Linked DNA regions of Pelodiscus sinensis. The protein of the gene in region 1 purifies or fractionates together with the protein of each later gene. This does not show direct contact. Links are inferred from orthologs where the notes say so. Each region holds a gene or a part of one and is shown in the gene's direction. Other genes may lie near its edges. The genes, in order: OTUB1, SLC7A11, UBE2E3 and FOXM1.

Evidence for each region.
Region 2: the proteins of OTUB1 (region 1) and SLC7A11 purify together in Homo sapiens (affinity purification with western blotting; 5 studies listed by BioGRID, with this or other methods). This does not show direct contact. The link is inferred for Pelodiscus sinensis from reciprocal best matches to the Homo sapiens genes OTUB1 and SLC7A11.
Region 3: the proteins of OTUB1 (region 1) and UBE2E3 purify together in Homo sapiens (affinity purification with mass spectrometry; 3 studies listed by BioGRID and IntAct, counting the BioPlex papers as one, with this or other methods). This does not show direct contact. The link is inferred for Pelodiscus sinensis from reciprocal best matches to the Homo sapiens genes OTUB1 and UBE2E3.
Region 4: the proteins of OTUB1 (region 1) and FOXM1 purify together in Homo sapiens (affinity purification with western blotting; 4 studies listed by BioGRID, with this or other methods). This does not show direct contact. The link is inferred for Pelodiscus sinensis from reciprocal best matches to the Homo sapiens genes OTUB1 and FOXM1.

The regions. Positions count from the first base shown.
Region 1 is NC_134721.1:33,697,394-33,704,239, reverse strand, and holds the start of OTUB1 (ubiquitin thioesterase OTUB1), read left to right. Parts: upstream 1-3,840; 5' UTR 3,841-3,929; coding exon 3,930-3,984; intron 3,985-6,846. UniProt on the Homo sapiens protein: Hydrolase that can specifically remove 'Lys-48'-linked conjugated ubiquitin from proteins and plays an important regulatory role at the level of protein turnover by preventing degradation.
Region 2 is NC_134715.1:44,988,751-44,995,589, forward strand, and holds the start of SLC7A11 (cystine/glutamate transporter), read left to right. Parts: upstream 1-3,822; 5' UTR 3,823-4,245; coding exon 4,246-4,522; intron 4,523-6,839. UniProt on the Homo sapiens protein: Heterodimer with SLC3A2, that functions as an antiporter by mediating the exchange of extracellular anionic L-cystine and intracellular L-glutamate across the cellular plasma membrane.
Region 3 is NC_134717.1:48,106,395-48,113,240, forward strand, and holds the start of UBE2E3 (ubiquitin-conjugating enzyme E2 E3), read left to right. Parts: upstream 1-3,831; 5' UTR 3,832-4,026; coding exon 4,027-4,173; intron 4,174-4,299; exon of another isoform or gene 4,300-4,610; coding exon of another isoform or gene 4,611-4,670; intron 4,671-4,695; exon of another isoform or gene 4,696-4,840; intron 4,841-5,266; coding exon 5,267-5,469; intron 5,470-6,846. UniProt on the Homo sapiens protein: Accepts ubiquitin from the E1 complex and catalyzes its covalent attachment to other proteins. In vitro catalyzes 'Lys-11'- and 'Lys-48'-, as well as 'Lys-63'-linked polyubiquitination.
Region 4 is NC_134711.1:125,752,463-125,759,446, reverse strand, and holds the start of FOXM1 (forkhead box protein M1), read left to right. Parts: upstream 1-3,980; 5' UTR 3,981-4,137; intron 4,138-5,994; 5' UTR 5,995-6,041; coding exon 6,042-6,591; intron 6,592-6,984. Other genes in the region: RHNO1 (RAD9, HUS1, RAD1-interacting nuclear orphan protein 1), read right to left, coding at 2,744-2,911. UniProt on the Homo sapiens protein: Transcription factor regulating the expression of cell cycle genes essential for DNA replication and mitosis. Plays a role in the control of cell proliferation. Also plays a role in DNA break repair, participating in the DNA damage checkpoint response.

The DNA.
Region 1 (6,846 bases):
CCTAACCTAAGAGGGGGCTAAGTTGGGCTTGGTGCTGGCTGAACTGATGCCCTGATGGTGTAATTATTCCTTTTGTCTCTAGCACTGCAGGCCAGTGTGTGGAAGAGACTATCCAAGTGGTCATGCCCTGCCCCGGATTCATCTTCTCTCGCTGCAGAGTGAACAAGTTGTGGCCCTGGCCTGTATCCCTTGCTCCCTCTGTCCTTGCTGATCTTTCCTTCCCAAATGCTTATCAGAAGAGATCCCATCCTGTCTGCATTCAGAAGTTTCCAGAGCTGTTCTTAGCCTCCCAGTTGCATACAAGCTGTAACCTCTGAAACAGCTGTGGAGCTAAATGTATCTATTTGGTTCAGAGCTACAGCCTTCCAAAACTGTCAGTGTTGCTCCCTTCTAGCTTTTATATCTCTGTACCTGAAATCTTTGCAAAACCATGTTTTATGTGACCTGTACTGAATTCTTAATAAAAGTCTTTAATAAAGGTCCAACATGGTGGTGGAAATTGTGTTGAGGAACTGGAGAAGCTGTGGTGTATTATCTTCTGAAAGGGGGGGGCCAAGAGGTGACTTGATCAGTCTAAGGCTGTCTACACTGCAAGGTTTTTGCACAAAAACCTGTGGAGCGTCCACACCTCAAATAAGCTTTTGCACAAGTAAATCAACAGTAAAACAGCAGAAGAGGGCTTTTTCTGGCGTAGGTAAACCTCATTCTATGAGGCATAATTCCTTTTTGCACTACAGCTATTGCGCAAAAAGGCAAGGGTGGATGCAAGAAGCCCCTATGGGGAAAAAGCACAGGTGCTCTGATGGCCATTCAGAGTTTTCTTGCACAAGAGCGTCCATGCAATGTGGATGCTCTCTTGCGCAAAAGCACATCGCTTTTGTGATGTGCTTTGAGGTGTGGACGTGCTCTTGCACCAGACATTTTTGCACAAAAAGCTTCTTGCGCAAGAAGCATGTAGTGTAGACTTAGCCGAAGTGAGTGTCTCCATGGGAAGAGATGTTGAGCTGACTAAAACTTCCTTTTAACCTCATTTGGAACAAAAAAAATGGAATTTTTGTTTAGGAAATAGTTAAATTATATTGTTGAAGAGCTTCCCTTTGTCTTATGGTTTATCCGTTGTTGCTTGGGTACTTAACTCTAAGTGTTCTCTTCCCCCCACCCCCCCTTCAGTTAATCATTGCTCTGGAGTGGAGGTAGAAATGAGGGGTTCAGTATGCCCTGGGAAGAGAGGATAACACAGCCTTCTCACAGCAGCAACTTGGGGCCAGGTGGAAAATGCTTGTTGATGGCAGCTGAAGCAGGCACAAGTGGGGGAGGGGTGCATGTCTTCCCCCCCTCCCATAGGGGACTGCTATAGTGTTTGTCTATCAATAGTTGTCCCTTTTTCCACCTCTGCCCCCTGCTGACATAATGGGGTTATAGATGTCCCAGTCTCCCTCTCTGGCTCCTTGCTGCCTCCTTGTAGTCATTCTGTAGTACAGTATAGTTCCCTCCCACCAGACCCCCCCCCCCTGTTTCTCATAAAATGGAAAAGATCTAATTCAATGCACATCCCGCTATCATGGCACAACCAAATCATGACCTTGCTTTCAGTTAAGAGAAAGCTACATATAAACTACAACCGAATTTTCTACCATTTAGGAGGAGTTCTTGGATGGATGGACAGATGCACATTTCTAAAATATATAGTATGATCTTATGCAGTAGAAACTTAGTTACACAAACAGTGGGAATGGAAATTGTTCATAACTATGAATGTTAAGATGGTTCTTTTAAAAGTTTACAACTGAACATTGACTTAATAGAGCCTTGAAACTTTACTATGCAGAAGATAAATGCTATGTTTAACTATCTTAATTTACATAAAATAGGCACAAGTTTCCTTACTTTAAAAAAAATCAATTAATGCACCATAGATACTAAAGATGCATCAAGGCATTTATTCAACTTTTCCACCCTTAAAGCCTGGTGATCTAGCCAGACCATTTGCAAGTTGTCTACCATTAGTGTCAATCTCCTTATACCCCCAGTCTGTGTGATGGCTGTAGAAATCTCTGATATAGACAGCTGGATGTGGCAGACTTGATAGAATCTGTTGGTTCCTGTTGACACTTGGCTGCTTGTAAATATTTGCCAGCCAGAAATTGCAGCCTGGATGGTGTCAAAGAATTAGTGGACATCAGCTAAATGGCATCTGCAGTGTCAGACTGAATGGCTGTGTCTAGACTGGCCAGTTTTTCCAGAAAATCAGATGCTTTTCCGGAAAAACTTGCCAGCTGTCTACACTGGCCGCTTGAATTTCCGCAAAAGCACTGACTTCCTACTGTAAGAAATCAGTGCTTTTTGCGGAAATACCATGCTGCTCCCATTTGGGCAAAAGTCCCTTTTGCGCAAAAGGGCCAGTGTAGACAGCTGAGATTTGTTTTGTGCAAAAAAGCCCCAATCGTGAAAATGGCGATCGAGGCTTTTTTGCGCAAAAGCGTGTCTAGATTGGCCATGGACGCTTTTCCACAAAAAGTGCTTTTGTGGAAAAGCGTCCGTGCCAATCTAGATGCTCTTTTCTGAAAATGCTTTTAACGGAAAACTTTTCCATTAAAAGCATTTCCGGAAAATCATGTCAGTCTAGATGTAGCCAATGTGTGTGGTTCAGCCATATTTCGGGTGGAGTCATGTGGCACAACAGGTTGCAGGCATCAAAACTGTAACACCCAGCTTTGGCCGTTGCTATTGTGTCTCTTGCAAGCAAATTATGTCAATAGTACATCAATGAGCAATAATGCTGAGTAAATCATATTTGGCAACTGATAAACCCTCCACTTTGAGTTGTAACATGCATAGAGCTGGTCCAATGACATAGAAATCACCCGGCTGAACATTGGGGTTGTTGGTGATTATAGTGCCGGTGTTCTTTGAGTGAGCGTTTATGGAATTTGGCTTACTGCTTGGACCATTAGCTTCCCTGACAATTGGCAGGTATTGGTGGGTGGCATGATGAGAATGCTGATCCATTGCCCTAGCGAGGCTGAAGGTGTATCATTCAGTGCTGGAATGATGGGCTGATGGAAGAAAGATACAATGTCATAATGAAGCAGGAGCCGAGGCTGGGTGAACCCATGATCTCATAACATGCAATAACCTCACAGTGAGATGTGACAGTCAGGTCAAGAGAGCCTGTTGTGATGTTGCATAATGATGTGATGGTGGGTTGACAATAGACTGCCATGATATCACATGATGACATCCTAGCAAAGTGCTATGCTAATGGTGGTAAATGCAAAGTGGTGTGGTGCCACATGAGGTTATAGCAACACAGCCTGTGGAAGGTGTATTAGGCTATTGCAATGTTGAATGATGATGTTATAAGAATGCAGTTATGGTGTTTTGTTGCAAGGTTGCTTTAATGGCATGAAGGTATGTTGTCATAAGGTCCTTTATGATGTCATGTGATTATATGACAAGGGCACAAGAATGGGGGTGATGCAAAGCTATTGTGATGTCACTGGAGGGTGTCCTTGGAATGTGACATGCTGATAGGGTGGATATGAAGCTGCTGTGGTGACACTGGAGGGTTCATAGCGACAGGCGATGGTGGATTGATGTGAGGCCCCTGAGGTTATGTGATGACATCACAATGGCACATCAATGATAGGTTGCATGAGGTCGCTATGGTGTCATAGCAACAGAAGAGAGGCTTGAGTGGGATGCTATGATGTAACACAATGACATCACCACACATGCCTACGTTGCATGGGGTGTCATACTGTTCCCATGGCTCGCCCACCCCTCCTTCCATCCCCACCAGTGGCCTAGCCTGGGCTTGTGCTGCTACGTGGGGGAAGGGTTTAGTGGCAGTTGCTGGGAGGAAGCGCTTCCGTCGTAGACCCGATGTGCCCCGGAAGCGCTTGCTGGGTGCGGGCTGCAGCTCCAAGATGGCGGCGGAGGACCCTCTGCAGAAGCCGGAGCCGCTGGGGGGGGACACGGATGGTAATGGGGGGAGGGGCGGCCGGGGAGCCCCCCAAAACGCACTGAGGGGAGAGGGGCGGCCCCGACCCCGGCAATACCCCCGACCCCAGCCCGAGGGAAGGCTCTGCCGCCCCCCGCGGGCCGGGACAAGGGCCCCCGGCCGAGAGCGGCCTTGCCCTGGAACAGAGGGCGGGGCAGGACGGCGCGGGGACCCCCTCGGAGAGAACCCCCCGCCCGATCCGCCGCCTCCTGACAGGCTCTGTCCCTCCCCAGGCCTGGCTTCCCCTCCCCCGGGTCAGGACCCCTCCCCCCTCAACCTCCACAGACAAGGTTCGCCCCGAATCCAGCGCCCAGCCCCCTACACGAAACTCCTTCCCTGGTTCTGCCTTCCTGCTGCTGCTAGCATCTCCATAGGAAACTCCTGCCCCAGGTCACCCCTTCCCAGAACTGGCTCCCCCGGGTTTTAGAGAGAAGATTTCTTCCCTTGACTCACTCACCTACCCTCCGCTCCCTCTTTTCTGTAGGACCCACATCCCCCCCCAGCCTTTCCCCAAGGGTCAAGACCCCCCCCTCACCCCCGCCTCTTCGCAAGGAGCTGCTCCCCTCTCTCCAAAGTCCAGAGAAAAGATTTCTTCCCAAATCCCAGACATGCTTCTCCACCATAGGAGACAGTTGCCTTGCCTTCTCTTTAGGAACTGCACCCTCCTCCTCCCACCGTTTCCAGCTTTCATCAAAGGCAATTCCTCCCCTTGCCTTCACACACACAAAGGATCTGCCTCCTCCCAATCCCTCCAGGAAAGTCCTCTCCTCACCCCAAATCTCAGGCAACCCCCCAGCACACAAGATCTTTCTCCTTTTCTGGAAGCTGCTCTCTGACCCCATGCACAATCAGCAAATTCCGCCTCCCCATACCTGATTTCCCCCCCTCCCATAATCCCCATGGAAAAGGTTACCCCAACTTCCTTCTTTTTCCAAGTATACAGGGATTCCTTCACACCCCAAAGGCAGGATTCTCCAGGAAGTGCTCTAAGGCCTACTGCTCCTCCTCCTGCACTGTGCATCAACCAGTTCTGCCCTGCTCCTGCAATGGTAGCAGTCAACCCACTCTACCCTCTTGAGGCAGGATCCAGCCCCATCTGTGCCTTGAGGCCTAGAGTTGTGGTTGCCCATATGATACAGGATTCCCCAATCTCTTTATAACCCATGCCATAGGCTGCCCTGTGCCATTGCATTCGAAGATGTGCCCCCCTCCAAACCTGGCAATGAGAATTCCCACCCACTCTGCTCATTCACTGGCTGTAGGCATCCCACCCACTGCAGCTCCTCTCAGGGACTGGATCGCTCTCTCTACCACCATTTCTATCGGGGATAAGATTCCACCATCTGTGCCTTGAGATCTAGAGTCTTGGCCCCTGCATTCCAACCTTCCTGCAGTTCATGTCAGCCCACTCCACCTCCCATTGGCAGGGATCATGCCCAGCCCAGCCCTGACTTCCATGGGAAGCAGGATCCTGGCCTGGCCCCCGAAGACATTCCCTCTATTGCATGTCTCTTATTACCATGTGATGAGGCTTAGGAAACTTGGTGTGGGTGGGTGAGGAAAAGAACCTTCAAACCAAATCATGTGTGGCAAGGGAGTCCTAAATCTCCCATTGGTGTGCCTGCCTCTTAACACAGCTCCTAGTACTGTCCAGTTACTTCCCTACCTCCCTGAAGCTCAGCACTCCACATTCCCCCACTCCCATCAAGCATCCCAGATGGTTTGGCTTAAAACCTTGCTTGGGTTATCCTTACCTGAGAGCAATAAATAATGTATTATTTGTTTAAAGGTGGGGGGGGGGGGGGGGACTGTTAGAAAAAGTTGCTCTGAATAACAAGGGGCATTTGGGATGCCTTGGGGGAAAAAACCAGACTTACCCTTTCCCCTCTTAATTGCAGTCTCTTCCCCTAGAATGTTATCAGTAGACACAGTTTAAATTCTTTGTTACAACATAAAAACTATTTTGGTTGAGCTGTCCCCAGTAGAGTCTGCTTGGTTCACATCAGTAGGAAAAGTTCTGGAATTTCTTCCAGGTGGTTCTGTTGATTAAAAAAGGGCCGTGGTCTGCCTGGATCTGCTCTGGGGAAGACTCTTGTAGAAAGTCTCAGTGGGATAGCTGTGTTAGTCTGTAACTTTAAAAACAACAAGTAGTACTGTGGCATCTTAGAGACTAAGGGTGCAGGACTTAACTCAAAATAAGCTATGCAAATTGAGCTACTTCAATTGCATAGCTTATTTTGAAATTGAGAGTTTCTACACAGCACTTATTTCTGAATAGAGCCCTCTTCCTCTGACTTCCCTTACTCCTCGTACAATGCGGGTTACAGGAGTCGGGAGTAAGAAGCCCTCCAGCTTGACTGTATTTCAACATTATTTTGAAATAACTGCCTGCTGTGTAGACGCAGACGAAGTTATTTTGAAATAGTGTTGCTGGGTAGACATACTCTAACACATTTATTAGGGTAAAATCCGCTTCATCAGATGAGTTGGAGTGGAAATTTCAGAATCTGGGGTATATATAACAGCAAAAGATGTTACCTGTCAATTGAAGGACCAATGTTAATGAATGAAGTCAGGATGGATGTGTCTCATTCACAGCATTTGATGTGGAGAGGCAAATATCAAAAGCAGGGAAGTTGCCTTTGTGGGATGTTAGCCAGTTAAGATCTTTATTCAAGCCTACGTTGACAGTGTTGAATTTGTAAATGAACTCCCAAGTTCAGCTGTCTCCCTCTGCAATCAGGTAATACAATTCTTTTCTAGAAGGATGGCAACTTTTAAATCCTTTATTGAATGTCCAGGGGAGGTAAAATAATCCCCTACAGGTTTATGTTTGTTACTAT
Region 2 (6,839 bases), on another chromosome or scaffold:
GGGGGGACTCTGTGGTTCAGTAATGCCATGGGCCAAGATAGTGGAGGCAGTGAAGACAGTGGGGGGAGACAGTGGTGAAGCACCACCAACTGGGGCCATCCCAAAGAATGATGGAGCTAATTCCCAGAATGTCCAGCAGGAGGCGTCAGAGGGGTGGTGAACCATGAACTATTTATAGGCATATAGTGGCCCCAGTATGAGTACATGGCATGGACATTTAGAAAAAGAAGTTTGCAGTACCCAGACTTCCAGAAAAATTGGTGTCCAACAGTAGTACTTGATTCACATTTCAGGATTTTTAGATATTCTTAAAGATGTGTATTATGTATGAGTTGAAATGCTTATGAGGCTGAACTTACCCAATTTTTTAAATCTTTCTTCATAGGTTAGGTTTTTTAACCTTTTATCATTTTGATTCTGTCCAATTTGACCACATCTTTCTTCTCATGCAGTTCCCAGAACGGAACATAGTACTGCCCAAAGGTCTCACTAGTGCTGAGTAGAACAGGATGGTTACCTTCCATATCTTTCTTCTGACACTCCTGTTAATGCACCTCAGAATAATATTAGTCTTTTTTTAAATTACATCACATTGTTGGTTCATACCCATTTTGTAAACCACTATATCCCCTGATCCTTTTTTGTAGTATTATCAATTATTCCACATTTGCAGTTGAGCATTTGTTTTTTCCTTCCTAAAGGGAAGTATTTTACACTTGTAGTATTTACACTTGTTTTACTGAACTTCATCTTGCTCCCAGACTGATTCTCCAATTTGTCTAGGCCATTTTGAATTCTAATCCTGCCCTACAAAGTACAATTTGGTATCATCTGCAAATTTTATAAGCATATTCTCCATTCCATTATTAAGGTAATTAATGAAGATATTGAACAGTACCAAACCCAGCATTGACCCCTGCAGGATGCCAGTAGATATGACCTCCCTAGGACATGCACTAGGCCGGTACAGATAGTGAGACAGAAGTATGATATAAAAGTACTTCCTTCAATTATAGATCATGTAACTGGCAAGAGTCAGGGCAGTAAGAGACATCTCTATCTTGTTATTGTGTAAAAAAAAATATAAAATGAAATTTGGACTCTACAATTTGGGAAGTATGTGAACGAAATTGACAAAGAAACACTGCCTTGTCCTGATTCCCTCAGGTTGTTTCTTGGACCAATTTAGAGACTCAAAATCAAACTTCACCTTCTGTGTCCTCACTGAGGTGCTGTTGTTAGTTATTGTTTATATTACAAGAGCCCTCAAAATGTAGCAGGTGAGGTATGGACATATAAGAACAGAGTGTCGGAGAGTCTCAGCTGCAGCTAAGGAATATACTGGACAGGGAAGGCATGGAAACATGATTTTAAGACTCCTTCAAATACTCCTCTACTCTGGGGCTGGCTGTGTGCCATACTTGCTGACTTTCATCCCATAAATTACTCTAAATCTCTCTGGCTCTAATAACCCCAAAATGCTGATATAAGCATTTGGGAAACTCAGAATCTAATAAAAGTTATAAATGCTGTTACTGGAAAGTCTTCAAAAGTGAAGGATTTGGAAAAGAAAAATAGAAAAGCACCAGAACGCTTAATTAAAAATAAATCTAAACCAATCAGTCTGATTGGCCAGTCTGAAGTATGTGTACCTACACGAGGTTGTTGTTACTATAAAAGCCCAGAATTTAGCACCCTTTCGTACACTGCATGAAATGACATGCCAAATACATGCAACATTTATAGTTGATTTTTGTTCAATACATTTTCAGTGTAATGCTTCTTTGGCAGGGGTTTGTTTTTCTTTTGGAAGAGGCTTTTCTGAAATTTAGCGCATCTACACGTGCCAGATTTTGGAAAAACCTCCTCTTTCAGCACATCCCTTCTTTCTCATACAATGAGGTTTATAGGGATGGTGAAAGAACGTGTTGGCTTTTCCGATTTTTTTTTTTTAAAAGCTGATACGTTGCTTAGACGCGGCATAGCTTTTCTGGAATACCTCCAGTATACCCGGAAAGAGCTGCAGAGTAGATGTAGCCTAGGTCTTCCACATCTTAGGTGACTTTCCCAGTCATCAGACTCTTAGCTATTCTAGGCTGCTTTTTCTCTCTCTCATTTAGACCAGACATTCCACTTTGGACTTGGGAAACCAATTCTTCACAAAAGTGTCATTGAAACTGACACATTCCCTAGGAAAGTTTCAGTTTTGGTAAAATGATATGCTCTGGCTGAAAATCATTTTGTTAAATATTTCCTGACCAGCTCTCCTTGTGATTGTTCAGTATACAGCCCCTTTAAATTTAAGTATTCAAGCCAGCACAGGTTAGTGGCTAGTTCTTTGATCTGGCTTGGCTTGTAGTTCAAGTCACTTGCTTCAATTGCTGGTAGAGTTGCATGTATGGCTAGTAGAGGGACCATAATGAATTATTCTGTAGGAATTCCTCTACCTCATGCATTAATAGAAAGCAATATTCTCTTACCCAGTGATGTGCTGATGAGAAGTATAAAACAGAAGAGAAATAAAATGAGTTGCTGTTGAATACATGATGGAGGGGTGTGAAGGAAGGAATAAGCCCTTTAAAAATATTATAGCATTACAAATATATATCCAATGCTAAAAAACTATTTTTGTTTGTTTCTCTGTATGTTAAAAACAGCCAGGCTTTTTATGCCTAGTTTTATCACTCTGCAAATTATTATAGGCAAGTCATAACCCCTGAAAATATGAGGTTTTAAAAACATTGACTCAGCTTTTACTGCAGCACCATAAACATCACTGCTATGATGCTCTAATATTTACTGTGTCTGAGATACACTTAAAAGCACAGAAGTTGTGCTTAGAGCTCAGTGCCGCCTTCTGAAATGACAAAACGTTTAGCTAGTATCTTTTTCCTCTTATTCAGAGCTAATGAAGCAATAACTGCAAAAGGAACATGCAAGGCAATAACTACTTCTCATTATGCTGATTGACCCCAAAGCCATGAGCAGCTGTGATAGTTTTGCTACATAGGATTTTTTTTTCCTGTGGCATATACTGTACCGGCTGTCCCAAGATGAGGTTGTAAGTGCTCAAGAACTACTGATTTTTTAGTGGAAGCTGATTTTTTTAAATTGTTACTTGATTTTAAATCAAAATATAAAAAAGCGATGTAGCTGAGTTAGCAATCAAGTAATTCATCTAAGCACAGATTAGTTAATCCACTCAGGAAGACACTATGGTGACATGAAAATCAGATAACGTTTCTGCTTTGAGACATTATTACATGACAAATCAGTGCTCTGAAATGCAGACCTCTTGCTCTCATATCTTGAAAGAATTTGCTGTGATTGTTAACAAGAGGGCTTACCTGGCTTGAAGGAGTATTTTCATTTTTGAGTTTCTTACAAACATCCCAGAAACTCTGTTACATGTGAGAATTACTGTACAGTGGATTTTTACTAGTCTGATTTGGCTGTTGCTAGGCAACACAAGATAGCAAATGGCTTATATGTAATCTTTATGTAAAGGTATGTAGTCTTGATGTAAATTTACATGTAATGGATAGATTTGGGGAAAACTAAAGAACTCAGAAATAAAAGTTGAAACTCACAAAACCTTTGTTAGCTTAAAAGGAGTCGGAAAAAAATTGGAATAGAACCAAATGTGACGCATTCTGTTTGATTTTCTTTTCCTTCTGGCTAAAGATCTTTGTGTTTTAAAAACAGGCTTTTGTGTCAAACTACAAGTTGCTTTAAATATATCTGGGGGGGGGGGAGGTGTTGACAGTAATATACTACCTTCTGATTCGTTAAGCTTCCTTTCAAGTGAGAGCTTTGTTCTTCCTAAGAAGCTCAAATCAGTTGTGCAACATGCTGTTACCATCTGAAAATGCTGAGTAATGCCAGAGCCTTTTCTTGTGGCTGATGCAAACCTGGAGAATTTGCATCATCATTCAGCAGGACTAACTTAGTATGACAGGAGCTTAAATACAAGTCCATGCGGAAGCTGAGCTGGTTTCCAATGAGAGAGCAGCACCAGCTAACAACGTGAAAGGACAGGTGTTACTAAGTAGTATTTATACAGCAGGGAATTTTAAAATACACCTTCAGAGTGTTATACCTGGGTGCAGCAGCAGCTTGAAAAGTAACAAAAAGGAGAAAGAGTGAAAGCAATTAGAAAGAGAGCACAAAGATCCAGGAAGAAACCTTGGGTGCTAGCTAGAAACTTTTTTATTTTGTTTTTAATTGTGTTGGTGGCATTATAGCATGTTCAGGAAACCTGCTCTCTCCACAGTCTCTAATGGAAGCTATTTGCAGGGGCAATCTATTGGCAGGTTGCCCTCTCTGGACAGTAAAAAGCCATCCCAGGAAGAAAAAGTGGTGCTGAAGAAGAAAGTAACTTTTTTAAGAGGGGTTTCCATTATAATTGGCACTATCATTGGAGCAGGAATCTTCATCTCTCCCAAAGGGATACTAAAGAACACAGGCAGTGTGGGAATGTCCTTGATTGTCTGGACAGTGTGTGGTGTCCTTTCCATGTTTGGTAAGTTGGTGAAAGTTTATAATTGATCCTGGGGGGCAGCTGGTGAATTTTTCCCCCTGCTATTGAATATCACAGACCAATCTGATATATGAGGACCAATAAGGCTACAGATATGGTTTGTTACTTAATAGTGTCTGTAAATGGCATATAGAACTGCGCATTCAGTCTTATATCTTTACAAGCAATGTGAGACAATACCCTGTTGTACCTTTTTATAACTATTATAAGATGAAATAATGTTTCTTTCAGTAACGGGAGAAGGAACAATCCTTTGTTTTATTTATGACTTTTTGTTCCAGCCGTAACGGCCAGTTTACAACATTCTTGCAAGGTGCTGGCAGTTGGGGATGTGGGCCAGTCAGTCTGAACACCTGTGAAATGTATAGATAGCTTGATCCAGTACCCCACTGACTAGAGTAAGCTCTGAATTGAATAATTCCTGCTGGATAAATTTTTTATTAGCAAGCAAGTGAGTAAGTGAGAAAGAACTTAGTTATTCTTTTTTCACTTTATTCGCCAACTCACGATATCTCTATGGAAAAACATGTCACAAAAAGTTATGGACCTTTGCAGTTAACACATACTGAGGGGTTTTGATTACTGCCATTTTTTCTGGCAGACTCCTTGTTTCCTGGCAGGTGGTCTTGATGGCAATTACTGAGTAAAACAGGGCTTAAGCCCTGTAAATGTGATCCTGTGTAAACTCTCTGTGGACTTAAGAGGCATCATCTGTTAAGAAGGAACATTAAGGCCCTAAACATAGATGAATAAAAGATCAATTTTGAACAGAAACTGAACTATTTTTTTTATGCCAATGCACCAAAAATGGTAGAACTTTGGAGTTTCCACCTTAGACTGAAACCCTCTTCCAAAATTGAAGTGAAAGCTGATACATAACTTGGAATCTAGTTATGAGACGTTGGCCTTTAGATTAAATTTAAATATAGAACTTGCCTCAACATAGCACTATATAATTTAATTTAGTTATGCATTTTATGAGCTAGACATTAAAATGTAGTAAATTATGGAGACTTCTCCTACACTATATATTGTGGTAAAATCTTATGGAAAGATCACCTGTTTAATCAGTAAAGGTGTCTGTGAAACATGTATGGCAACAATACAGTAGTTACCTCAAAGCGATTGTGTATTGCATCTGTCCAGATGTGCTTGGCAAGAAAAGAAAAATCTGTCAATTGGTTTCTTAAATGTGACTGTAAATAGATTATCAGGTACCCTAAATAATCTGAAAAAAAGTTTACCAAATGAGATATGCCTAGTAGTTGTCATTAAAACATATGCTTGAATGCACTGCTGTTAGAAAAAGAACAGAGCAGAAGCTCTTTAAATTACAAATCCATCTCTGAAATTGTATATAATGTGGCATTTTTTTTTGCATTGCAATAGCTATATCAGATGTATGCATGTCACCACATCACACTGGACATTTAAGGTACTATATATATTGTTCTTTTTCACATTAATTAATTAGGAAACACATAATTGATAACTCCATATGTACTACTACTCATAATACTATGTACCATATCACTTTACCATTGGTTCCCAAAGGCTTCTTAAATACTGTGTGCACACTAATGGACAGGTTGACTGTATTTGTTAATGCTGATAAATCTCTCATTGACTGATGCTGTCCATACATGGAACTGAGAATCTGTTGGCTTTTCAAATGTGTGAAGGCCTATTAAACATGCCAACAGATATAAAGAATGGAGGGATGGCACATGGCTAAGGATATTTAGTGCAAGTTGTTGTTTGCTCCATAAAGGCTGAGAATGCATATTGTGCATGTGGCAGCCTCTGGGAGCTTTCTGGGGGTTGTCATGGTGTTGTAGATTTCTCTTACAGTCCCTTCACAGTGGACCAAATCACTTTTTTTGAGGGAGCAGACCTCCTAAAATAATAACAAAACACTGGTTTTCTTTTTATTTCAACCTGTATAAATACATCGAAGAATGAAGGATTCCTCTTACTAGGGAAATGTGAAGTCAGCTGTTCTTTTAAGGAAATATAGAAGCTTCCCAGAGCGAGGAAGAAATGCAGTAACATGCAAGCAGTGAACAACCTGATTTTGGGGGTGGGTTGCTAGGCTTTGTAAACAACACATTTACCATCCAATAGCATGAAGTCCTGACTACACGTTTCCTGACATTGCTCCATCTACATGCCTCAGCACTAGTAAACAGTGTCTAGGCCCTTGTAATCTCAGCAGAGACTGAATCAATGGTATTTCCTAGTCACTGGAATTGGGGTACATCTACATTTCAAGCTGTGATGGGATTCACAGCTCAAGAGG
Region 3 (6,846 bases), on another chromosome or scaffold:
TTTTGGCCTTGGAAAGGGTTCCGAAAAGGGCAACTAAAATGATCAGGGGTTTGGAACAGGTCCCATATGAAGAGAGGCTAAAGAGACTGGGACTTTTCAGCTTAGAAAAGAGGAGACTGAGGGGGGATAGGATAGAGGTCTATAAAATCATGAGTGGTGTGGAGAGGGTGCATAAAGAAATGTTCTTCATTAGTTCCCATAATAGAAGGACTAGAGGACACCAAATGAAATGAATGGGTAGCAGGCTTCAAACTAATAACAGAAAGTTCTTCTTCTCAAAGAAAATAGTCAACCTGTGGAACTCCTTGCTGCAGGAGGCTGTGAAGGCTAGAACTAGAACAGAGTTTAAAGAGAAGTTAGATAAATTCATGGAGGTTGGGTCCATGGAGTGCTATTAGCCAGGGGGGTAGAAATGGTGTCCCTGGCCTCTGTTTGTGGAAGGCTGGAGATGGATGGCACAAGACAAATGGCTTGGTCATTGTCTTCGGTCCATCCCCTCCAGGGTAGCTGGTGTTGGTCGCTGTCAGCAGACAGGCTACTGGACTAGATGGACCTTTGGTCTGACCCAGTACATCCATTCCTATGTTCTTATGTTCTAAGCTCAGGGCTCAGGGTTGGGGGTCTCACTGGACCATGATTTTCATGCAAACCTGCTCCTGGGTGGCCAGGCTGGCAGCTATCCTGCCCTACACAACCACTTTCCTGTGCCTAATGCGGAGGTCGTGGACGTTGGACGCCTCCCCCCAAACCTGGATGAGGTCCACGATCTCTGCACTAGACCAGGCGGGCGCCCGCCTCTTGGTCTGGGCTGCTGGCTGGGTGCTGGCAGGCTTGCAACTGGCACGAGCACCGTAGCCAGACCGTGCCCTTTTAAGGGCTCCTGGGCCGGGTGGGTGGCAGACAAGTTTCCCTGGTTGTGCCCAGAGTGGCCACCAGGGCAAGCTCGGAAGGGCTAGCCTCCCACTAGTTCAAATTAAGTGGCTACACAGCCCTTAATTTGAACTAAATTCGAACTAGGTGTTAGTCCTCGTAGAATGAGGTTTACCTAGTTCGAATTAAGCACTCCGCTAGTTCGAATTAAGTACAAACTAGCGATTTGCCTGTGTAGCGCTTATGAAAGTTAATTTGAACTTACGGCTGTTAGTTTGAATTAACGTTGTAGTGTAGACATACCCTAGGAGACTACGGGTCTGTCTCCCAGAGCCTCTTGGAGTTTAGTATCCTGTTCCAGTATAGGCTGTAGCTCATTGATAATGTGTTGGGGGCTGTAGGTGATGACAAGTGGTGTTCTATTGTTGGTTTTCTTGGGTCTGTCTTGAAGTAGATGGTTTCTAGGTATTCGTCTCGCTCTTTCAATTTGCTTTTTTATTTTTCCAGGTGGGTAGTTGAGGTTTATAAATGCTTGGTAGAGATCCTGAAGTTTCTGGTCTCTGTCAGTGGGATTAGAGCAGATGCGGTTGTATCGAAGGGCTTGGCTATAGACAATGGATCGTATGGTGTGTTCTGGATGGGAGCTGGAGACATGTAAGTAACTGTATGAGTCGGTGGGTTTTCTGTAGAAAGTGGTGTCTAATTTTCCATTGGTGATTTGTACTGTGGTGTCCAGGAAATGGATCTCTTCTGTAAAATGGTCCAGGCTGAGATTGATGGTGCAGTGTAGGTTGTTAAAATCTCTGTGGAATGTCTCCAGTGTTTCTTGGCCATGCGTCCAGATCATAAAGATGTCATCGATGTAGCGTAAGTAGAGAAGGGGTTAAAGGGGATGGGAGTTGAGGAAATGTTGTTCTGAGTCAGCCACAAAGTTATTAGCGTACTGTGGGGCCATGCGTGTACCCATGGCTGTGCTGCTGATCTGGAGGTATAAGTTGTTCCCAAATGGAAGTAATTGTGGGTGAGAACAGAGTTACATAGGTCTGCTGTCAGATTGGCAGTGGTGTCCTCTGGGATAGTATTTCTAATTGCTTGTAATCTGTCTTCATGTGGGATGTTGGTGTATAGAACTTCTACGTCCATGGTGGCAAGGATGGTGTTATTGGGGAGGTTATCAATGTTTTGTATTTTCCTTAGGAAGTCAGTAGTATCTCGGAGATAGCTGGGGGTGTTGGTTGCGTGGGGTTTGAGAAGAGAGTCTACATAGCTGGATAAACTAGTAGTGAGTGTGCCGATACCTGAGATGATGGGATGTCCGGAGTATCCAGGTTTTATGGATTTTGGGAAGCAAATAGAACAATCCTGGTCGGGGGTCAGAAGGTGTTTCTGTGTGGATTTGTTCCTGAGTAGCTGTAGGGAGGCTTTTAAGGAGACAGTGTAGTTTCTTTTGGTATTCCGAGGTGGGATCAGAGGAGAGAGGTTTGTAAAATGTGGTGTTGGAGAGTTGTCTGGTTGCCTCCTGGTTTAAAGTTTAAACAAAGACATTAATTATCTTACCCATTACAAAGATAGCTTCCCCAATTATCACCTCTAATATCATTAGCTCACAGACATTCACCTTCCCCCTCCTCCCCATCCCTGTTCTGTTCTGAAATTTGATTTGTCCTTTTCATATGTCTTTATTTTTTTAAATTGTATCCTTTGGTATATATGATTGTGACAATTTTCTTCCACTATTTGATCTGAGGAAGTGGGTCTAGCCCACGAAAGCTCATCACCTAATAAACCATCTTGTTAGTCTTTAAAGTGCTACATAGTCCCGTTTTTTGTTTCAGCTACACCAGACTAACGGCTACATTTCTATCTCTCTAAAAATGTTTTTCCTGACGGGTGACAGAATGATGTTATCACACTCTCACGTTCTTGGGCCATGGAAGCGGACTGAGAGGGGCTTGGTAAGTGAAGCAAACACAAGGAGCAGCCCCCTAGTTATTATTTATTTATTATTATTATTATTACTAGTGATAGTAAGATAGTAGCAGCACTTCTTGTCTATTTTGATGGCACAGATTCTGGGTATGTGGCCATTATTTGTCAGAATTGAGACTGATCTACATGCCAGATCAGTTTCTATCGGACATCAAGATCTGGAATTTTAAGAGTGGCTAAACATCTTTTCTATTTATGCATTTTTAATTTCAGGCCTGGGGGTCCAAAAATTGGCTAGGTTCAGAAGGATCTGGATATTTGAGGTGATCTTGTGCTGGGGCACATGAATGAGGGCCCAGATTTTGCTTGTGCAGCAAGAAAGGTTGAACATGTTACCCACTGAGGAGTGGGATTTGGTGCTGGGACAAAAACTGGCAGGATTCAACTTTCACTCATAATCGCTATGCTGTATGTTAAGGCACTCACAACCCAACTCAGCCACGACCAGTGCCCAGATTAAGTATATTTACTCCTGAGTGACCACCCTTATGGACAGCAGTAAGAAGAGACAGAAAGAATGGGCAAAAGCAGAGCTACTTTCAAATCAGTTTCCTTGCTTTGGCTATGCCCCAGCAGGCTTTTGCACACTTGTGCATGGCACTGAAGTAATTTCAGGATCTCAGGCTCCCCCTCCCGTAGTGACTGCTCCAGAGTTGCAAGCTTGCGAGAAAGGTATTTGTATGGGAGGAGGGGGGAGGCAGGAGAGAAACCAGCCACTAGTAAGACACAAGCAAAGGCCAAGCGACCAACCTGGGGGGTGCACAGGGACCAACTCTTTGTCCTTGGCCAGCACGGGAGAACGCACGCACCCTGCAAAGGTAGAAGAGCGAGAGAGCGTGCGCGTGCCCCAGCCGGGGGGGCGGGGGGGTGTTACCAGTCAGGGAGCGAGCGCCCTCTCCCCCCGCCCTCATGTCGTTTGGAACTTTGCTGACTGCAACATTCTGAATCCGAACGTAGCGACACAAGGGGGCGGAGGCGATAGAACGCTCGGCTCTTCTCTTCCATCCGGCGCCCTTCCCCCGAGGGGAAGATCGCGTTCTCTCTCCTCTTACCCCCTGCCCCACCGTGGGAGCCCGCTTTGCAAAAAGGGGACACGCCAGCACCACCCTAAGGCCATCAAGCCGCACTGCATCCTCCCCCCGTCTCTCCCCCCTGCTCCGACTCTCAATGTTCCACACTGCCCGGCCACAGAGCCTCCTCTGCTGCTTTATATCCCCCCGGCTTCCTCCAGCCCCTCCACAGATACCATATCCCCTTCCCTTCCCCCCTCCATCCCTCCCCTCCGACCTAACACCGGGACAGGACGCCTGCAAGGTAAAGGAGAAGCGGGTTAGGTGGCTGCAGCAGGAGCCTGGGCGAGCTTGGTGGGGGGAGGAGGAGAAGGAGGAGGCGGGGGGGGGGGGAGGTTGGTAGAGGGAGCTTTGTTCTTGTTTTCAGCGCTTGCTGCCTGTCGGTGGCCGGGAGAGAGAGGAGCCGGGACTGAGTTCACGCCTCACTTGGTGCACACATACCATGCTGATCCTGGAGAGCCTCCTACCATAACAACCCCTCCATACCCTCCTCGCTGGGAGCTCGATCTCGCCCCACAAAGCCAGCCCGAGCAGGGGGGAGGGGGGGCGGGGGCGAGTGTGTGTGCAAAGCTGCATTTCAACCCTACTGCAGTTTCCTACTAGGAGCTTCATTTTCTTTTTCAGCACCCCTCCTCCAATTTGGGTGCCTCCCGCGTGTGTCTATATATTTTTCCCCTAAAAATGTCGGTGTGTTTTGTAGAAACTGATCAAGAATCGGTGGCGTTGAAAGCTTTGCAGAAGGTGCAGTTTTAATTATGCTTCTTCCCCCTCCAGCAGCTTTGTGGTAGCAAAATGCAATTCTTGCTGCTGGTCATGTAAATAACCGAGGCTTCTGCTTTCTGGGTTGTTTTAAATGTATAGTGTTTTTTAAACACCTCCTCCTCACGGCCCTTTAAATACAAAGCGACAGAGTGAGTGTAAATTTCAATCTGAAATCAGTTGGAGTGTTGTTACTGTCAATATATTGTCTCAGAGAGGGGGGTAATTTGGCTGCTCGGACCTAATAAAATGCTCTGCTCCAGTGTAAATATTTGCAGGGTATTAGTGACTTTTTAAACAACATTTTTAGCAAGGTCTGTTATTTACAATGTGTCATAAGTTATTAATGTTCATTGCTTGCAGGACCCTTCTAAAACCCCTGTCCCATGGCTTTGAACAAAGTAAACAATTGATATATTGTCTAAAGTATGAAAAAATGTAGCTGGGCTTTAAAAAACTGGAGCTTTCTATATTTAAAAAGTGTAAATATTACTTTGTAACTGTCAAACTGCAACCTAAAGTGAACTCTGCTTTTCTATTCTTCCCACCCCCTTTTCCTTTGTCCCTCTTTCCCAAAGTTCACCACGATGTCCAGTGATAGGCAAAGGTCAGATGATGAAAGTCCAAGTACCAGCAGTGGTAGTTCAGATGCAGATCAAAGGGACCCACCAGCACCAGAACCTGAAGAACAAGAAGAAAGGAAACCTTCTGCAACCCAGCAGAAGAAAAATACCAAACTATCCAGCAAAACTACTGCTAAGTTATCTACTAGTGCTAAAAGGTAATAACTATAAGAGTGACTGAGAGACATATTTGCACTATATTTTTAATGCAGATGAAAGCTGTGTTAGGGAGTCATTTACTGAATTACAAACTTTTTTGAGTTATGAGATTTTCATTCAATAGCTTCAATAATGATACTGTCAGTAAGCTAACCTTTAAATAAGCTTCTCACATTTCTTTGGGAGAGATGCTTAAGAACATTATAACTTGTAAAATGAAAATACTGGCTTCTAAAAGCTTTTATTCACCAATATGAATTTTATCCTTGCAAGTAATATAAGAATTAGAAACATCGTTTCCACCTGCGTTCAAAAGATTAGCCTTTTCTTTCTTGGTAGAGTACCATCCTTAGGGTATATTTCGATAGATTGTGTGTACTGTTCACACAATCAGTTTTATTGAATATAAAAATATTTATAAAAATGTTATTGGCACAGAAATAGATGGGTTTGTACTTATAACTTTGTTTGCATGCCAACATACAGTACATCCTTTATGCATCCTAATATAACATGTTATTCTGCAAAAATAACCAACTTCAGTGGGACATTTGCTTCACTAGGGCCTGGAAAATCACTCTGGAGATGAATATATCCCCTCTATATTTAAGTGTCAAAAGCTTCACAAACCTCTTGTAGTCTATTTGATAAAATGTCTGTATTTACAATGTATGTTAGACTGGCTTTCAGTAGGTATACACGGAAGCGTTTTTTTAACTTCAGCCATGTGAAACAGGCAGACTTTTAATCCTTTCATATGCAAGGGTCTTCTGAGATGAAACAATTTGCTAAACCTTACATTCATTTTTTTTTTAGGAATACATATTACATTATAGCCAATAGCAAATAGATCTGAAAAGTAACAGTGGAAAAACATATTTTAACTTTAGAGTCAGTTCTCTACTGCACAACTATGTGTTTTGCTTATTCAGCATGGCTCAAACTTTTATAAAGACCTGAGAGAGGAGTTGGTATTCCAGTTCCCTGAATGTTAAAGCATTAGCCATACAGTAAATACTACCTATTTTCCACTGATTTTGTACTTGTAAAGAAATAGAGCTCCAAAATAATAGTATCTAAGTTAGATACTTTAAATTAGTCCTGCTCTATCAGTGAAATGGGTCAACCTAGCTCCATTGCTCAGGTGCCAGACTGTGAAAATTTCTGCACCATGTGACTTTGTTAGGTCAGCAGGAGAACTTCTCCATCTCCTTAGCTACCTCTTCTTGAGGAGATCGATTTACTGCACTGACAGATACCCTTATTTTGTCACTGTGGTAAGAGTGTATACTTGCCACGCTGCAATGGTACCATTTGTAGTGTGGGCATCCCTCAGAAAAGAAGCTAAAGTGTTATATTATTTTTATAACTTGCAG
Region 4 (6,984 bases), on another chromosome or scaffold:
TTTATTATTTTAAAGATCTATTTTCTCTGAAATGCTTTTGTTCATAATAATAATTTTAAAATGCTACTTGATCACTGGATACCACTGACACTGATCCCCAGAAGGAGAAAAACTGCAAGTACTGAATGCAAGTCAGATCCAAGGTTACAGAGAGTGGCTATCCAGGGACCAGTCTAAGGGAAAATTCTTCCATCTCCATTCCATCTCAAGAGAGGTGATAGGCTGAGGTTTAAGACCTGAGTAGCAGTGTACCCAAAGAGACCAGGAGGAGCCCAGAATTGCAGTTAACCCTGTAATTGACACTAGTTATTAACAGACTATTTCTCAGGCATATCCTAATTAGGGATGTGAACGACTAGTTGACAAGTTGCCCCCCCTCCCTCAAGCCCTCTGCTGCCTCTATCAGAAAGAGGCAGCAAGGGGAGGGGAAAGAGGTGGGGGTGCTTCAAAGTGGCAGCACCATATGGAGCCCGGAACCAGACCCTGCGCTCCATGCAGCACTGCCACTTTGGAATGCCATGTGTAGACTGGGGCCAGCAGGAAACTCCCCCGCTGAGCCTGGGCTCCCTGTGGCGCTGACGCTTTGAAACGTCGCAGGAAGCACAGGCCCAACATGGGACTACTTGAGTCCCCTGCTGGCCCTGAGCTCCCCACAGCACTTTCACCTTTGAAGTGTAGCAAAGGCAGAGGTGCCCTAAGCAACTAATCGAATAGTCGATGCAATTTGCATTGACTATTTGATTAGCCAATTAATCTTCATTTAACATCTCTAATCCAAATAAGTCCTTGTCTACATTGGGAAATTTTCCATCGTTCCAGATGGAAATGGATTCTGTCTTCTCTCAGGAACTGTTTTACTCATGGAGTTTAAAATGCTCTATTAAAAATACAAAAATAAATTTAAAATCAAACAGAGAAATCTAGATCTCTGGGGCTGGTGGAGTGTTTCATATGAGTTTTAAAGGGGTAGCCATGTTAGGCTGTATCTGCAAAAACAAGGTGGTGTCCTGTGGCACCTTACCAACAGATTTATTTGGGCATAAGCTTTCATGGGTAAAAACCACTTTGTCAGCTGCAAATGAACAAGATGCCCAAATAAATCTGTTAGCATTTAAGGTACCACAGGACTCCTCATTAAAGTTTGAAATCTTTTAGGGCTGCTTTGTTATAAAGCTTTGAGACCTAAGTGTTGTTATTTAACAGAGCTGCCTGGTAATGGCTTCTGCAAAGACAGGTAGCTCCTACAGAACAATTACAAGATTTTTTAAGCAAATGTGCATATCATAATAAAGTATCCTAGGACTGAGTGAAAAGAAACTTAGCAGTCCTCTCAACAAGATTTGAGTCTATTGGAAGAGTTGTGTTAGGAAAAGCAGAAGATTTAACACACACAAAAATGAAAAGGAGGGCAGGGTTAAAGTACATAGAAAACTGCTTCAAAAATCTGCTGCCTGGATATCTTCGCCATAGTGTCTGCTTGTAGCCTGCATTATCACCCTGCTTTCCAGAAGAGATGATCTATTTGCTGGTTTACTTCAGGCCCAACATTTTCTTTTGATTGAAACCAAGTAATATTACATTAACAATATGTAACAGAAAAACAAATAGTTGAGATTTGTTATCAATGAAAACATGTTTCTTTAAAGAGCTCATTGGGGTGTTGACAACTCCCCCCCCCACCACACACACAAAAAGAGCACTGACCTAAATGAAGTGTAACAGTAAAACTGACCAGCATTGTCCAATCAGGAATGAAATGCAAGACATCAATAAAGTACATGAGCAGTGAAAAGTGAACACAATTTTAAATTTTTTTAGAAAATACAACTCTCTCAGTAGTACCATTTTTCTTGCTGTTGATTCTTGGTTTGTAGTCTATGTAGTTCTGCTAAAGCCTCTGAAAACAAACACATCCACTCCTTAGGCTTGATCTTCCAACAGACTCCCACTGACCTCAGGCATATACTTGTTTGTTTCCAAGCAATACACTGGCTTTTTGAAACTGCATTTCTCACCAACAAGCTTAACTAAGGGAAGACACCTGCTCCTTATCACACTGCATCTGTGGAAGTAGGCCTCATCATTTTACATCAAGTATTCCACCTTTTAACTATATACATTACAAGATATAACATCCATTTTAACCCACATTTAACTCCATTGGGGGGTGACCATAGATAGGCAAACTTACAAAATTGAGATTATTAATACATGAATATTAAATAAGAGAACCACAATTAAGATGCAGACTCTATTTCTGTATCATAGTTGAGCAGGAAGTTGTCACATTTAAGTGCTGGAGAGTTGAGAGTTATACCAAACAGTTTGAAATAATTGCTGTAGTTTAAATATCAAATCCAATAAAGAGTAACTAAACAGTAACTATTCTACTATCCATTTCCAAGGTTTTCAGTTATCATAAAAGCCAAAAAGAATCCCCATCTCATATGGATCCCAACCTTTTCATGCCACCATGCTAGTTCCCAAGACAGGGAACTCTGCCAGTGGCCACCATTTCCCATTTAGATGTGAGTGCGCTAATTTAAAATACATCTCAGGCTGCTTGTGACTGCTAGATTGGGATCTGAAGCAACTGTAACACTGTAACCAGGCGGGGGGGGGGGGGGGAGTGTGTGTGTAATCCATGTCCAAGATCCACTCCAAACAATTCTTTATTAAGATATGCATAAGAAGGCTGAGAACACTTACTATAAGAAACTAAGGAAAACAAACCTGCACCTACCCATGAGACGGAAGCATTTTGGTCAAGAGGTTTGGTAGAAACACGTCTTGGGTTCTCAGCCAAAGGCAATGGAGATCCATAGTGATGTGTAGGCCCCTCTATTGGAGTTTCAAGGAATCGCAGTTGTGTCTTGTGAGCCTGGTGGATGCATTTCTTCTTTGGAGGCATCAAAAAGGGTAAGAAAGTCGCTATGAAACCTCATGATGCCTGGTGGAGCCAGTTAGGGAGAAGAGGAAAGAGATGACAAACTGTACCCAAATCTGCAGAAAGCAACAGAGGGATGTCAAGTCGTCAAACCTAGCAACTGTTTTTTCCTACATAGAACACACTTCTGATCTGCCTCCAAAAAAGTCTAATAAAAAATGGAAATATACATTTTTATATACATCCACTCAGCCATACTCCCATTAGGGACACAATCAGAGCTTTCTTGGTGTTACACAAGATATAGTCTGTAGTGGGTGCCTCTCCCCATGGTCTTGGGTTTTTGGGGTGTCCTCCCTATTGAGTATATCCAGTCATGTCTTGCTCCTGGGAAGATCCTCACTAAACGACATCAGCAAGGTGGAACTGACATAATGCTGCTCCACCATCCCTAGCCGTGGCCCTTTCCGGTTACCTAGTCCACACAGCCGCACCAGCTGGAGGGTGCAGACAGGGGAGGAGGAGGTAACGACCCTGCTAAGTTTGGGGTCCGCTGCTCTACTTATCTACAGGCGTGTACACACACATACGCGGTGCTCTCGCTATGCCCTACCCCAGGCATCCAGTAACTCCTGGGCACTTTTCTCTCGCGCACAGCCCGGCAGCTGAACGCACACGCCGCCCGCCCGGCTGCTCCGGGGCTGGCTGTCTCTCGCACACGGCGGCTACTCCGCCATCACTGGCTGGCCGGTTGCTCCAAGCTGCAGCGGCGGGGCGGGCGGCAGGCCCAGGAGCACAGAGCAGGTGCGGCGGGGAGGGCAGCGGCAAAGGCGCTCAGGGGCCACCGTTTGAGAGCGGGGGCAGAGCCCCGAGACAAACGCCGCCGCCGCCGCCTCCTACGGCCGCGCCCCCGCCCCCGCGGACGCTGCTCCGCGCAGGGAGCCGGGTGGGGGGGTTGAACCGGCCTCGGGTCTGATCCCAGCTCCTGCCAGGGGTCAGGCGTGTGCGAGCACCGCCGGGCGCGGGCGCTCATTGGCCACTTCCGTTGCCGGATGGAACGCTCTGGCCCCAGGCCTCATCTCCATTGGTCCCGCCCTCGCACGTGATGCCAACGGGCCGCCAGGCGCCAAATTCAAACCGGGAAACGAAACGAACTGCCTCTGTGCCCTGAGAGCTGCGGAGCCCGGCGGTGCCGGGTCCCCGCGGGGAGGCAGCGGGGCGCGCGACCCCCTGCCCCCACCGACACCGGGGTGAGAGCGGGCTGGGAGGGGCCTTGCTGCGGGAGCGGGGCCGGGGCGGGGAGACTGATAGGGGCCACTAGGAAGGGAAAGGGGGTCGGTGGGCACCGGCGGGCCATGGGGGGCAGGGCGAAGGGGTGAAAACACGGGCTGGGGGCTCTAGGAGCCGGAGAGCCTGTGGGGAGATGGATGGGGGAAGGGGCTGGGGCCAGGGGAAAGAGCAGGTGAGAATTCCCAGCGTGTGTGTGACAGCGCAGAGCTACCACCCGCAGCCAGGATGCAGCGAGGCCTTTGTCAGTGGCTGCAGGGCGTCCCGTGAAGCCGCCTCCTTCCAGAGGCCAGGGTTGGATGTGTCACTTGCCTCTATCACTTAGGAAGGGGGCTAGTTTATTTTTCTGTCAGTTTTGTTTGTACCCTTTTATGACCGTACAAATGACTAGGGTACTGCACGGATACAAAATACGGATCCATAGCTGTAAAAATGAGCAGCAGATATCCACAACCATATCTGTGGAAGCGGATATCCGAGGATAGAAAGCAGATATCTGTGGATTTGCAGGGCCCTACAAATTATCGGTTCTGAGGATGTTTTGTTACTAACAGGCTGGATTGGCTCTAAAGATGTAATAGTGTAGTCTATTAACCGATAAGCAAAAGCTTGTCTGTTAATGCTACAGACTACACGCATCCTCCCCCCCCCCTCCCCCACTCCCCAACACTTGCCAATAAATTTTTTAGCAGGCTGGCCAGTAGCCTACGTCCTGCCTTGTGCCAGATCAAGGATCTACCCCTGCTGTGGCTCTACATTTAAAGTGTATTAAGAGCCAAGTGGGCAGCTAACCTGGCTCAGTTCTGGTTCACGCCAGGTCCAGGAACTCGGACCCCTCTCCTTCCGGACAGGAGCTGCTGCCACCCAACGCTGTGGGGTGACAGGCAGCCAGTTTGTGAGGGGAGCTGTTTTTTAAACTGGCTCCCCTCACGGGCCAGCTCCTGCCTGGTACCCTACGCTGCTGTCTCTTATACACAGGCAGCAGCACAGAGTGTCAGGAGGTTCTTCTGGAGTAGGGCTGGAGCGCACTGGTTGCCAGCCCCACCCCTAGGGACTATAGAATAGTCAAGTAACCAATAAGAATTCATGAGGTTAATCGACTATTCAATTAACTGATATTTAATACCCCTAATCCGCTCCAATGATGTGAAATCCTCTCCATTTTGGTTAATTCTTAGTCTCCCATACGTTATCTGTATAATGCAAGCACTGTAGATCCACTGAAGATTTCTTGTGCAAGAGCAAAGTACCACTTGCCACAACTCCCATAAATGCAACAATTATCCTATCTCCACATCCCTATTTCTGGTTTTGTCATTGATTCCCCTAGTTCTAAACTTTAAAATTGTTTACCATCCATAAAGTCCAGATTAAGAAATTTATTCTGACATTAGATGATGGTGAATTGAGTTACACAGTGCTAAGAAAGGAAGTGCTTGGCTTCTAACAAATCTATTTCAAGCTCTGAGTTTATGGTGTTTCTATAAAACAAATATGATAACACTAACCTCACGGGTGTGATCTGAGATATTCAGTTATCATGCAATTAGTGCTCCTCATCTGTATGGAGTTTTCACAAGATGTGTATCAATAAATAAGGAGGAACCTTTCCCTTCAATGGATGTGGCATGCAATTCTTCCCTATGGGCATAGGGATTGTCCTCTAGTCACAAGACAGATGGTGAGGAATCTTCCTCTTTTAGGATTACCACTGTACCCCTCATACATCAGCTGATTTGGTACCTTGCATAGAGATAATTCATTCCATTCCTGTACGTTCCATGCTTACAGCTCCTCTTTCATGTTCTTATATTTTGCAGGGTCTGTTCTTGCAGTCTTCAATGGCGAGTGACTGTACAGATCAATCATGAGGACCAGCCCTCGCAGGCCTCTGATTCTCAAGAGACGAAAACTGTCCCTCCCAAATCGCAATTCATCCAACACCCCAGCGAGAGATGAACCAGATGGGCAAAGTAAAGGAGCCCCCAAGCATGAGCAGGTCAGAGAGGACAAATCCAGGGACAGAGTGGAGGGTAGCACCCAGAAATTCCCAGCAGGAATAAAGATCATTAATCACCCTACCATGACAAACACCCAGGTGGTAGTCATCCCTCCCGATGCTGACATTCAGAGTATCATCGAGGCTCTGACAGCCAAAGGGAAAGAATGTGGCAGCAATGGGCCCAACAAGTTCATTCTCATCAGCAGTGGGGGCAACTCACTCCCCACAGGCTCACCAGCAACTCAGCAGAAGCTCCAATCAAATGATGAGACAAGCACAGCAACAAAGGGAGCCACAGCAGCAGATTGTCAGGATGGAGAGAAGAACATTGGACAAAACCCTGGGATTATGGAAAGGCCGGTACTGTGGCATCCACAAGTCAATTCCATGGAAGGACAAGAACAGGAAGGAAACAGTACGTAGGCTGTACCCTTCTGTTGAACTCTTCAGCACAATGTGGAGTGGGTAGAGATGGGGGATTGATGCTCTGCTTGATATAGGAGAGCGCAGTGGTGAAAATGTGAAATTTCAAGCAACCCAGGTGATTAATATATTAGGTTTATATGTACGCTGATAGGTGTTCAAATCCTGAGTCCAAGTAAAAGTCAGTGATTTTAGGGCCTGGGGTTTTTCTGAGAGTTGGTAAGGTATGTTACAGGTCAGGATTTTGGTATACAGAAAGTCCCCAGCTTATGAAAGGGTTGTGTTTGAAAAGTTTGTAAGTTGGTTATTTGAAACTCAGAGTGCATTTTCCCACAGAAACAATATTCTGAATGGTGGTTAGGTGCCCAGGCTAGCCCACAAAAGC